Linked DNA regions of Mus musculus. The main gene of each other region encodes a partner of the protein of the gene in region 2 in a complex. Links are inferred from orthologs where the notes say so. Each region holds a gene or a part of one and is shown on either strand. Other genes may lie near its edges. The genes, in order: Taf4, Tbp and Taf10.

Region 1 (3,653 bases), on a different chromosome or scaffold from region 2:
TGTTTTAGCTCTTTATACGCATAAAAAGGTGACTTGAAAATCAAGTGTCCAACGCAAGACCACACCTCTATGGAAGGCCAGGAGCTCCCCTAGCTCTTAAGGAAGGCGCTTTCCCACCCGCTCCGGACCTCAGCCTCCTCATGTTCTGCTGTACCTCTGCTCCTGATCCTGGCCCAGTGCAGTCCACTTTCCTCTTTTTCCTGGGCCCGATCGCTGCCAGTGCAGTGAGGTTGGCATCTCGTTGTCGCATCTGTGCCAGCTCCTGCTGCTGCATCTTCATGTTGGGAAGGAAACAGAACTATCATTGCTTTGAGAGTTCTTACTGCAAATGTAGCAATCAACAGCTACCAAGAACTTTCTCAAGTTTCCTAAATTACAACTTCTTTTTTTAAATAAGATTTTTTTAAAAATTTTATTTATATGAGTACACTGTAGCTGTCTTCAGATACACCAGAAGAGGGCACCAGATCCCATTACAGATGGTTGTGAGCCACCATGTTGTTGCTAGGAATTGAACCAGGATCTCTAGAAGAGCAGTCAGTGCTCTTAACCACTGAGTCATCTCTCCAGCCCAAGTTACAATTTCTTTAAAGTTGAGGCTCTTAAACTAAGGACATGTCTGTGACCCAAAATAATTACAAAACTTTTAAAACAGAAGCTTACCTTAAAGTGCTCAAAAGATTAGAAGGGGTTTAGAAGCCTAACCTCACAGAAGTAAGTGACAGGTCCTCTCCAACCAAATGCACACAGCACAGAGAGAGAGAGCCTGGGCTGCCTGGCCGCCCAAGAGCATGAATAAGCAATGGATGTGAACCTTCAGTGACTCCAGGTTTCTTAACTACTCTCTCTTTGTGGGCACCGAGCATGAACATGAGCTGCAAGGGCCGTGAGGAGTCCAAACAGAGAAACTCACCTCTTTTGCTTTCTGCTTCAACCTTAATTGCTCTGGGTCTTCTTGTCTGGATCGAGACTGTTTTTGAAAGAAGGAGAGAGGGAAGAGTCATGCCTTCCTTCCATGCGCATCACTGACCCACAGCGCCATGTCCAATCTACAGCAGTACCTAGCCAGGAGACAGTGCCTGCTAATTCTATAAAGGTTTCTATCCAAACAACAACAACAAAAAAGTCTTCACTGCCACCCAGATGCAGTAAGAGCCTTAGGCATATGGCTACCAGTTTTGTCATATGCCTCTGACTCAGTGTAGACTGAGAAAGAAAGCCTGGACAGAGCTTCCAGACATACTGGGCTCAGCGGCTGAGGGTGGCATTCAACTGTCACTTTCCTACTGCACAAAAATCTTGACATTGGGATTAACATCTCTAGATGACTCTGATCATACACAAAGTTCCCACACTCAGCTCTGAGTGCTTTGACTGAAGGGCAATGTGAACCACAGGGAAGGGAAGAGGTCAGAATCTTAAAGAAGCCCACACCACCAAGCATAGTGTTACACACCTTTAATCCCAACACTCAGAAGGCAGAGGCAGGAAGATCTCTGTAAGTTCAAGGCCAGCCTGGTCTACATAGCGAGTTCCAGGACAGCCAAAGCTACATAATAAGTAAGACCTTATTTCAAAAATAAAACTTTTTTAAATTAATTAACTAACAACATGAGAGAGCCACATCTCTTTTTTTGTTGCTGTTGTTGGGTTTTTTTGTTTGTTTGTTTTTGGAGACAGGGTTTCTCTGTATAGCCCTGGCTGTCCTGGAACTCACCCTGCCTCTGCCTCCCAAGTGCTGGGATTAAAGGCGTGCGCCACCACTGCCGGACTGCCACATCTCTTATATCAAATCTCAAACTGGAGTGCATCCTCCGGCAGCTGAAGTACCCCACCTATCCAGCTCCACTCACAATACCCTCCCTCCAGAGTATGAGCACAACAAGCCAGTGTGCCTGGTAAGAAGCTAGGAGGGGCAGACTGCAAGCTGAGCCTGAGCTGGAGACAGTAACTTGCCTTCGCTGCCCGCATTAAGATCTCCCTCTCCTGCTCATCTTTCCTCTGCTTTTCAATCTGATCCAGTTGTTCAAAGAATTTGAGCTGAGCCCGGACATCACTCGCTTGCTCGTATCTGTCGTCGTCCTACCAAAAAAAAAAAAAAAAAAAAAAAGTCAGTAAAAACACTGTCTACCACAAATTTGGAACTTCAACAAACTATGAGCGTGCCTCGCACAGCTGGACAGTGTGTACACAGCTCCATGGTGGTAGCAGCTGCTCACACCTCACCACTCCAGTCATGGCCTCACAAGGACAGCAAGTCTCATCCAGTTACCAGGAAATCCATAAAAGGTTTCCATTTGATACACTTTGGCATTTTTAAGAGATATTTAAGTCCTTCTGTGTAGAAATGTTTGTTTGTTCTTCTCTGCGTAGCCCTGGCTGTCCTGGAACTCGATTTATAGATGGCAAGGCTGTGCTTGAACTCAAAGAGATCCATTTCCCTCTGCCTCCCAAGTACTAGGAATAAAGGTATACACTACCAATTCCAACTTTAGAAGTGTTTTAAAGCTGACAATTCACAGTGAGCTGCTCTAAAGAATCAGACACAGACTCCTTCATCTGTGCAATTGCTCAAGACATATTCTGGTCGAAAACCCTCTCTCTCTCTCTCTCTCTCTCTCTCTCTCTCACACACACACACACACACACACACACACACACACACACACACACACACACACACCCCACATGGCAAAGAGCCTGTAGTTGCAGCTCATGGCTCAAAATGGGCCAGGCTACAGGAACTGGGCACTTTAAAAGGAGTAAGAATACAAGACTCCCTCCATAGTCTCTTAAGCTCACAGCCCCATCTTCCAAAGCAGGCTAACTGCAGAGCACATCCCCAGCCCAGATGCAAGACCTCCTACAGGTAGTGTGTGTGGCCAAGAGTGAGCACAGGAACAACCAGGACAACAAGGCTTCCAGAGAGCCCAGGTCAGGTGAGAACACGAACATTCTCCCCGGGAAAACAGCCTCATTACCTTATAAGAGAAGTTTTTCTGCTGAGCCGTTTCAGATATTTTTTCTACAAGATTCTGCAGCCTTTGCTGTGTGGCATGAGACACGTAACTCACTACATCTGGATGCAGTTCCGTGATGCCGTGCTTTTTACCTGCAGGCCATGCAGAAAAAAAGCACTTTATGGTACTTACCCAGTTTTTCTTTATCACGGCACTGGCTTCTCTCACCCACTAGTTACTGCTCTGCACAATCAAAGGCAATCTAAGCAGGAAGCAGATGGCCACTGCCCACCTTCTACTACCTGCCAACCAACAGTGGAGCCTCTATGGGGTGAGCCCAAGACAAGGCAGTGGAGCTACTGCAGAAGGGTTGGACTGAGTCTTGCCAGAGTCATGGAGCACATCAGACAGCGATCTGGACACACAGCATCCCAGTGACATCATCTGGTTCAAACGTACCTATCTCCAGTATCCTCCTCTGCAAAGGCGCGGGGAGGAGGAAGGTGTCGTCTTTACAGGATCGGGTCAACGTCCCCACCAACTCAGAGTTTGTGGCCAATATCCTTGCACTTTCTTCAGACAGGTTCACTCCAGCCATTGACGCAACATCATTGATGTCATCATCATCCCTGCAAAAGGAGAGGAACATTCTTGTTGCATGAAGGAATCATAACTCACTAAGGTGGTTCTAAT
Region 2 (3,653 bases):
AATAGTTCTGTGTTTATTTTGTGTGAACATGAAACCTATGTCCATCTATTAAACTTAAAACATATTTTTCCAAGCAGCATCACTATTTCATGGTGTGTGAAGATAACCCAGAACATTGAAGACGTTTCTAAGGAGATATTCAGAGGATGCTCTAGGGAAGATCTGAGTACTGAAGAAAGGGAGAATCATGGACCAGAACAACAGCCTTCCACCTTATGCTCAGGGCTTGGCCTCCCCACAGGTAATAGAGCAAGAGGGAGGGGCAGAGAGGGCTCATATTCCCTTTAAGAGAAAGCAAAAGACAGTGACATTTACCATGCAGTAGTGAACGTGGATTTTTAGGTTTTTAAGCTTGTTTTACTTTGTGAAGATTTCTGAGTTAGATAGCTGTGATGTTCTTTTGTTTGGGAAGTTTAGTTGGAACCTAATTAATTAGAAGACTCTCTATGAGCTGTAGAGCATTTATCTTATTTACTCCAATAAATAAATTTATTGCTCCTGTTGCAGTCACTTTCCTATCCTGATTACTACCAAATCTGCTTTCAAAATTAAACATTGGTTTTGATGCTAAACATGTGCACGTATGTGTGTATGTGTTTGCAATAGAATTAGACCTAGATTGTTACCAATTCCATATACATTTTACCATCTCCAGTGTTCTTCTGCCTCCACATAAATAATTAGTTCTACTTTATTTTTATAAATAAAATGTTTAATTATAATTAAATATATGTAAGACATAGAAGCATTATAGAAAAGGCAGTTGACAGTATTTTACAGACTTTGTTGATTTTTGTTTTTAGTAGAATAAATTACTTTTTATTAAATAGTATGATAGAGGCATCCATGAGTCTGTCATCCATCATCCATGTGATCCGTCGTCCAAAACTGACACGTGCTTAGTCAGTGGATAATCATCATATATTAAATAGTACTTTGTGGGTGGGGGTGGGGTTGAGACAGGGTTTCTCTATGTAACAACATCCCTCAAACTTGCGTTGTAAATCAGGCTAGCTTCAAACTCACAGAGATCCACTTGCCTCTGCCTCCAGAGCTAGGATTAAAGACGTGCCACCATGCCTGGGTACTGGGCAGTACTTTAAATTGGGACATAGGCTTTTTTCTTTATGGTCTAGATACACATGAGAGGCTAAACATCTTCCTTGCATATCATAAATAACATTTTCAAATCCTAAGTGTTCATCTTCTATGGTCAGTACTACAGAAGATAGTTGTGCATCTCAGGATACAAATTCTTCCCTAGTATTTAATGACCTATTATATTCAGAAAACATTAGTCTTTTTACTTTACTTGGGTTTCACTAGGGAAAAACCTAAATTACTCACCATCAGTATCTTAATCATTGCTCTCTTTGCTTTCCACAGGGCGCCATGACTCCTGGAATTCCCATCTTTAGTCCAATGATGCCTTACGGCACAGGACTTACTCCACAGCCTATTCAGAACACCAACAGTCTCTCTATTTTGGAAGAGCAACAAAGACAGCAGCAGCAACAGCAACAGCAGCAGCAACAACAGCAGGCAGTAGCAACTGCAGCAGCCTCAGTACAGCAATCAACATCTCAGCAACCCACACAGGGTGCCTCAGGCCAGACCCCACAACTCTTCCATTCTCAAACTCTGACCACTGCACCGTTGCCAGGCACCACCCCCTTGTACCCTTCACCAATGACTCCTATGACCCCTATCACTCCTGCCACACCAGCTTCTGAGAGCTCTGGAATTGTACCGCAGCTTCAGTGAGTACCTCTCACACCACCCCAGCCCCTGTGCGTAACAGTGAGTGCATGCGCGTATGTATTCATGCGTTTTCTGTTGTGTTCCTTGTCCTCTGTCCCCTGCCCTTTGTCTCTGCACCAAAGGAGGCGCTCAGTGTTATTGTACTGTTTGCTTCCAGACACTGGATTTACTTAAGGAAGTGGCCCAGTGGTAATTCTGTTATACTGTGACTTTATCTGTTCTTGTAGGAATTGAAGCTACAGAGTGGGTCAGTACTCTCAGCAGAGACTTTCCCTTAGAAATGGAGTTGCTTGTGTTTGTGTATTCGGGCCACAGAAATGCAAACTGAGCTTCAGTGATACTGTGGACATTTCCTTGTAGCTAATTGGCTGAGTCACTGGCCAGTTGGATCACAGCTTTGACTGTATCAGCACAGGTCTTAGGGGTCCAGGATTTTCTTCAGTTTTGGCTGTGAGGGCTGTATTTATATCTTTGGAGATCTATGTCACTCTCAGAGTAGGGATAGCAGTTCTTATCTTGATGAATTTTTCTGCCTAAGTAAAGTATTTCCCACATGTAAAAAAGGTGGGAGATTCAGGCTTTTTTCTTCCTCAAACAGCCCAAACTTTCCAGATACCATTTAGTAACAAGAATCTAGCTTTACTTTAAGAAAGCTTAAAGGCTGATTAAAGAGTTCTTTGCAGACAACACTATTTGGGTTTTGTGTTTAGTAACTCCACCTTCCTACTTTCAGCGTTGTTTCCTATTTACACTTAGCTTTCTGCATATATATCGTCATTTGTAAGCCATGCCACCTCATTTTTAAGCTAAGTGGCATAACCTGATTCTACCTTGGCTGTACACAATTTTAAGGTGACTTTTGAGTTTAAAGAGATAAGCCCTATAAGCACTCCTTTTGTTTGTACTGTTGTAAACTATTTCTTTATGCCTGTTTGACGTCCACAGGCATTCAGGCTCATACTTCTGATTAAAATCATTTGTGAGAGTCAGCTTAGGACATACACTTTTTTCCATATCCACAGAGCATGCAATCAACCACATTACTGTTTCCATTATCTAAAAACATTCCTTATTAGGTGTCAGTTCAGCAGCCTTATAAAGAATTCAGGTAAATATTTAACTTTTTTTTAAATTTATTATTTTATTATCTACATTCCAAATGTTACCCCCTTCCCAATATTTAACTTTCTAAAATAACACATTTATCATTTGCATGGCTAAATTTGTGACAGGCGCACCAAAGTGTACCTGAAAATTCACTTCACGTATGGGCATGCTGAGTCAAACCCATTTTTAAGTAAAACAAGAATTTTTCTTAGTATTTCTTAGGTTGGGGGGAAATAGATATTGGAAAATTGAAAACATTTGATCTACCTCACTTTCTGATTATGTACTAGAGAAAACTAGTCCAGTAAAATTTAATTTTTAAATTAAATTTTTGGGGGTTTTTTTGAGACTGTCTCACGTGATAAAGCTGGCTAGGGTGGTGCTGTCTATGGAATATAAGCTAGCTGCTTTGAATTCTTGAGAATACTCCTGCCTAAGCCTCCCACCGTGTTGCCTTGCTGTTCAGCAAGACTTTGAGTCACAAGATTTCAAAAGTATTCTTTGTAGAGAGTAAAAAGAGAGCAGGGAGCAACAATGAACTAGAGCTGGTTGTCTGGAGTTCTTGTGTAACAGTTGATGGTCTATTAATTGCATTTGATGGCATTGTTCATTTCAGGTCTGTCTACTTTGAAAGACCTAGAAAACTACAGAAAAAGTTGAGTTTGCTATGTTTCAGTTTTTATTAAAAGTTCTAGGCCAGGTGGTGGAAGCACATGCCTTTAATCCCAGCACTGAAGAAGCAGGGGCAGGCAGACCTCTGTGTGTTCCAGGACAACCTGGTCTAC
Region 3 (2,982 bases), on a different chromosome or scaffold from region 2:
GTACTGACAAGCACTGTGGTAAGCGCTTCCAGCAGTTTATACAGATAAATAGTAATCTTACCATTCAAGGATCAAAGGCTTTTACCCATATGATGAACTCAAATTCTGAAGCTCACCTTATTCCTTGTAATTTGCAGGTGGCACTGGAAGGCCTTCGGCCTACCATCCCACCAGGTATTTCCCCCCATGTGTGTAAGCTCATGAAGATTTGCATGAATGAAGACCCTGCAAAGCGACCCAAGTTTGACATGATTGTGCCTATCTTGGAGAAGATGCAGGACAAGTAGGACCTTCAGGTCCTTGCCCAAACTCCAGAAGTGTCAAAACATGGCTGGGGGAGTACACTTCTCCAAAGTTAAAGACCTCTGGTTGCCTCCCCTGTCTCTAATCATGGTACTACCCCAGTTATGGGACTTGTTCCCTGCTCCCATCCCTACCACTGTAGCCCCAAAAGGGGCTGGGCTCAGAGCTTTGTCACTTGCCACATGATGTCTCCCAACATGGGAGGGATCAGCCCCGCCTGTCACAATAAAGTTTATTATGAAAACAGGCTCGTGTGGGGACAGAGGGAAAGACAAATACATCTGGGTTGCGTGGCTCAGGTGAAGTAGTGCGGCTTCTTCACATTGATGCCATACTCGCTGAGGGCAGGGGTCAAGTCCTCCATGGTTAGGGTGTACTTGCGATCCTGGGGGAAAGAGGGAAGACCACCAGCTGAGCACAAGTGCAGACTCCAATCCTTTGTGGGTGACCCTGAGCAGGCCCAATACCTCCCCTAGGATTCTGCTTCCCCAAAAGGCTTTCAGGATAAGTTAGGCCTGTACTGCAGTGGAAGGTGAGCCTCTCACACCTTGCTCTTGCTCCGGGAGCTGCCAGAGGCTGTGCCCTTCATTTTGCAGTGCTGTAGGGCATCATTGGCAATATCTGAGATGAATTTCTGGGCAGCTAGTGAGATGAGCCGAATTCTAGAGAGGAAGAGGGTGGTAGTAATGAGAATATTTAGCAAACTCCACCTAGCACTCAACAGTCTAACCTGCTCCGAGTTTACTCACATGCGTGGGTCTGAAGCTTCAAAGCCAGCGCGGTTCAGGTAGTAACCAGTCACTGCATCTGGGATCTGAAAAATCAAATTAAACAGCCATCAGTGTTAGATCTGCCTATTGATGCGCTGGCTGGGACGGAGGACTAAAGAGATAGCTTCATGCCAGGCAGTGGTGGCACACGCCTTTAATCCCAGCACCTGGGAGGCAGAGGCAGGCGGATTTCTGAGTTCAAAGCCAGCCTGGTCTACAAAGTGAGTTCCAGGACAGCCAGGGCTACACAGAGAAACCCTGTCGCGAAAAAACAAACAACAAAAGAGATGGCTTCATAGCAGAGAAAGCTTGAAAGAACGAAGGTGTGGTTCAAAGGCATTGACAGCGAGCCAGGTGGCCTTGTTCAGGTGGGAAGCGCACCGTAGGTGTGTAATCCTCCAACTGCATCAAGAAGTCCACTAGAGGTGTGCTGGACACTACGGGCTTCACTTCTCCGTTGGCCGCGCTCGGTAGGGCGTAAACCCCGTTAGACATTGCCCCCTCCGGGGGAGCCGCGCCGCCCGCTGCCACCGAAGCTGAAGGAGAATCAACAGCACAGGTGAGAGGCGCAGGGTTCCCCTGCCCCGGCACCTAGTCCGAGATGCCCTCCTCCCTCACCCGGCCCGGCCCTCCCTCACCTGGCCCGCGCCGCTCTGCCGGCTCCCCTGCCCGTGCCGCCACGGGGCCCGTGCCCGCAGTGGCGACTCCAGCCACGGGGCCCCCTGCTGTCCCCGCGGGGCTGGCCTTGCTCTCCGCGGCCGTGCTAGTGGGCAGCGCAGCGGGAGCCGACACCAGGGGTGCCGGACCCGCGACCGAGGCGGCACAGGCGGTCGCCGCCTCGGGGTCCGCGCCGGAGCCGCTGCAGCTCATGGGGCCGGTGGGAAAGGCGGCGAACAGAGCCGCTTCCGCTTCCGCTCGCCCAGGCGCACGCTGCGTGACGTTACAGTTCCCGCCCACCACTCTAAGCTGCCGCGGGCGACCTTAGGTTGGCTGTTAGTGGATGAGGTGTAGACTTCAAGGCGGAGGCGAGCTGTGTGAGATGTGGCTGCCACCCTGCGGTTCCACCCCGGCCCGGGTGGGGCCGCAGAGCATCCAGGACTGAATACTTTATCTGGGTTCGTTCAACGACCTGGCTTGGGGACTCATCTGCCAGACACTTCATTACCAGTCTCCTGACGGTCTTCATGCATTCTTTGTAGTTCCCTTTCATGGTCTTTTAAGGGTTGCAGTGGATTTGATGTGTGTCCCTCCCACCCACAACGGGCTTAGGAGAGTACCTCTGTAAATGTAGAGATGGGTGTTTTACCCTGAAGAAATAGCATGCCAAAGTCTTGTGTGAAACACATTTACAATACAACAGACTTTTTTTTTAAACAGTCATTTATTTAATTTCTATTTGGGCTGGGACCTAGGAATACAAAGTTAAGAATCAGATTCTAGTTCACTAGCACCGACTGTCTGGAAAAGGAAGGCAAACAAACTGACAATTTCAATACTGTATGATTGTTTCCCAGCTACATGTAGGTGCAGTGCAAAGAAGAAAGGGAAACTAACATTCATTGCTTAATTCCAAGTGTGAGACATTAGCAATGTTTATTTCCCGATTTTGAAGGCAAGTTTCAATGTCTCTGACTTTTACCCAGTAATCTTTGAAGGGTTTGCACAAATACATAGACTGCTTGGTTTGGAAGATGAGGGGCTTCGGAAGCCTTTCCTCTCCCCAAGTGCTTCCTGCAGTTTAGAAGAAAAAAGAACATGGGCTCAAAGATAATGCAGTATTTTGTGCATGTGTGTGTGTGCACATATGTGTATTTTTGAGACATGGTCTGACTATGTAGGCCTGGCTTGTCTGGAACTCTTTATATAGACCAGGATGGCCTCAAACTCAGAGACTTGCCTGGCCTCTGTC

The links.
Region 1: Tbp (region 2) and Taf4 share a complex: the UniProt entries of both Homo sapiens proteins name them as parts of the TFIID basal transcription factor complex. The link is inferred for Mus musculus from reciprocal best matches to the Homo sapiens genes TBP and TAF4.
Region 3: Tbp (region 2) and Taf10 share a complex: the UniProt entries of both Homo sapiens proteins name them as parts of the TFIID basal transcription factor complex. The link is inferred for Mus musculus from reciprocal best matches to the Homo sapiens genes TBP and TAF10.

The regions. Positions count from the first base shown.
Region 1 is NC_000068.7:179,920,998-179,924,650, forward strand, and holds part of Taf4 (transcription initiation factor TFIID subunit 4), read right to left. Parts: intron 3,590-3,653; coding exon 3,420-3,589; intron 3,113-3,419; coding exon 2,982-3,112; intron 2,083-2,981; coding exon 1,957-2,082; intron 971-1,956; coding exon 914-970; intron 275-913; coding exon 155-274; intron 1-154. UniProt on the Homo sapiens protein: The TFIID basal transcription factor complex plays a major role in the initiation of RNA polymerase II (Pol II)-dependent transcription.
Region 2 is NC_000083.6:15,502,888-15,506,540, forward strand, and holds part of Tbp (TATA-box-binding protein), read left to right. Parts: intron 1-77; 5' UTR 78-187; coding exon 188-241; intron 242-1,386; coding exon 1,387-1,760; intron 1,761-3,653. UniProt on the Homo sapiens protein: The TFIID basal transcription factor complex plays a major role in the initiation of RNA polymerase II (Pol II)-dependent transcription.
Region 3 is NC_000073.6:105,742,376-105,745,357, forward strand, and holds Taf10 (transcription initiation factor TFIID subunit 10), read right to left. Parts: upstream 1,964-2,982; 5' UTR 1,944-1,963; coding exon 1,712-1,943; intron 1,610-1,711; coding exon 1,455-1,609; intron 1,118-1,454; coding exon 1,053-1,117; intron 966-1,052; coding exon 851-965; intron 689-850; coding exon 599-688; 3' UTR 519-598; downstream 1-518. Other genes in the region: Ilk (integrin-linked protein kinase), read left to right, coding at 138-287. UniProt on the Homo sapiens protein: The TFIID basal transcription factor complex plays a major role in the initiation of RNA polymerase II (Pol II)-dependent transcription.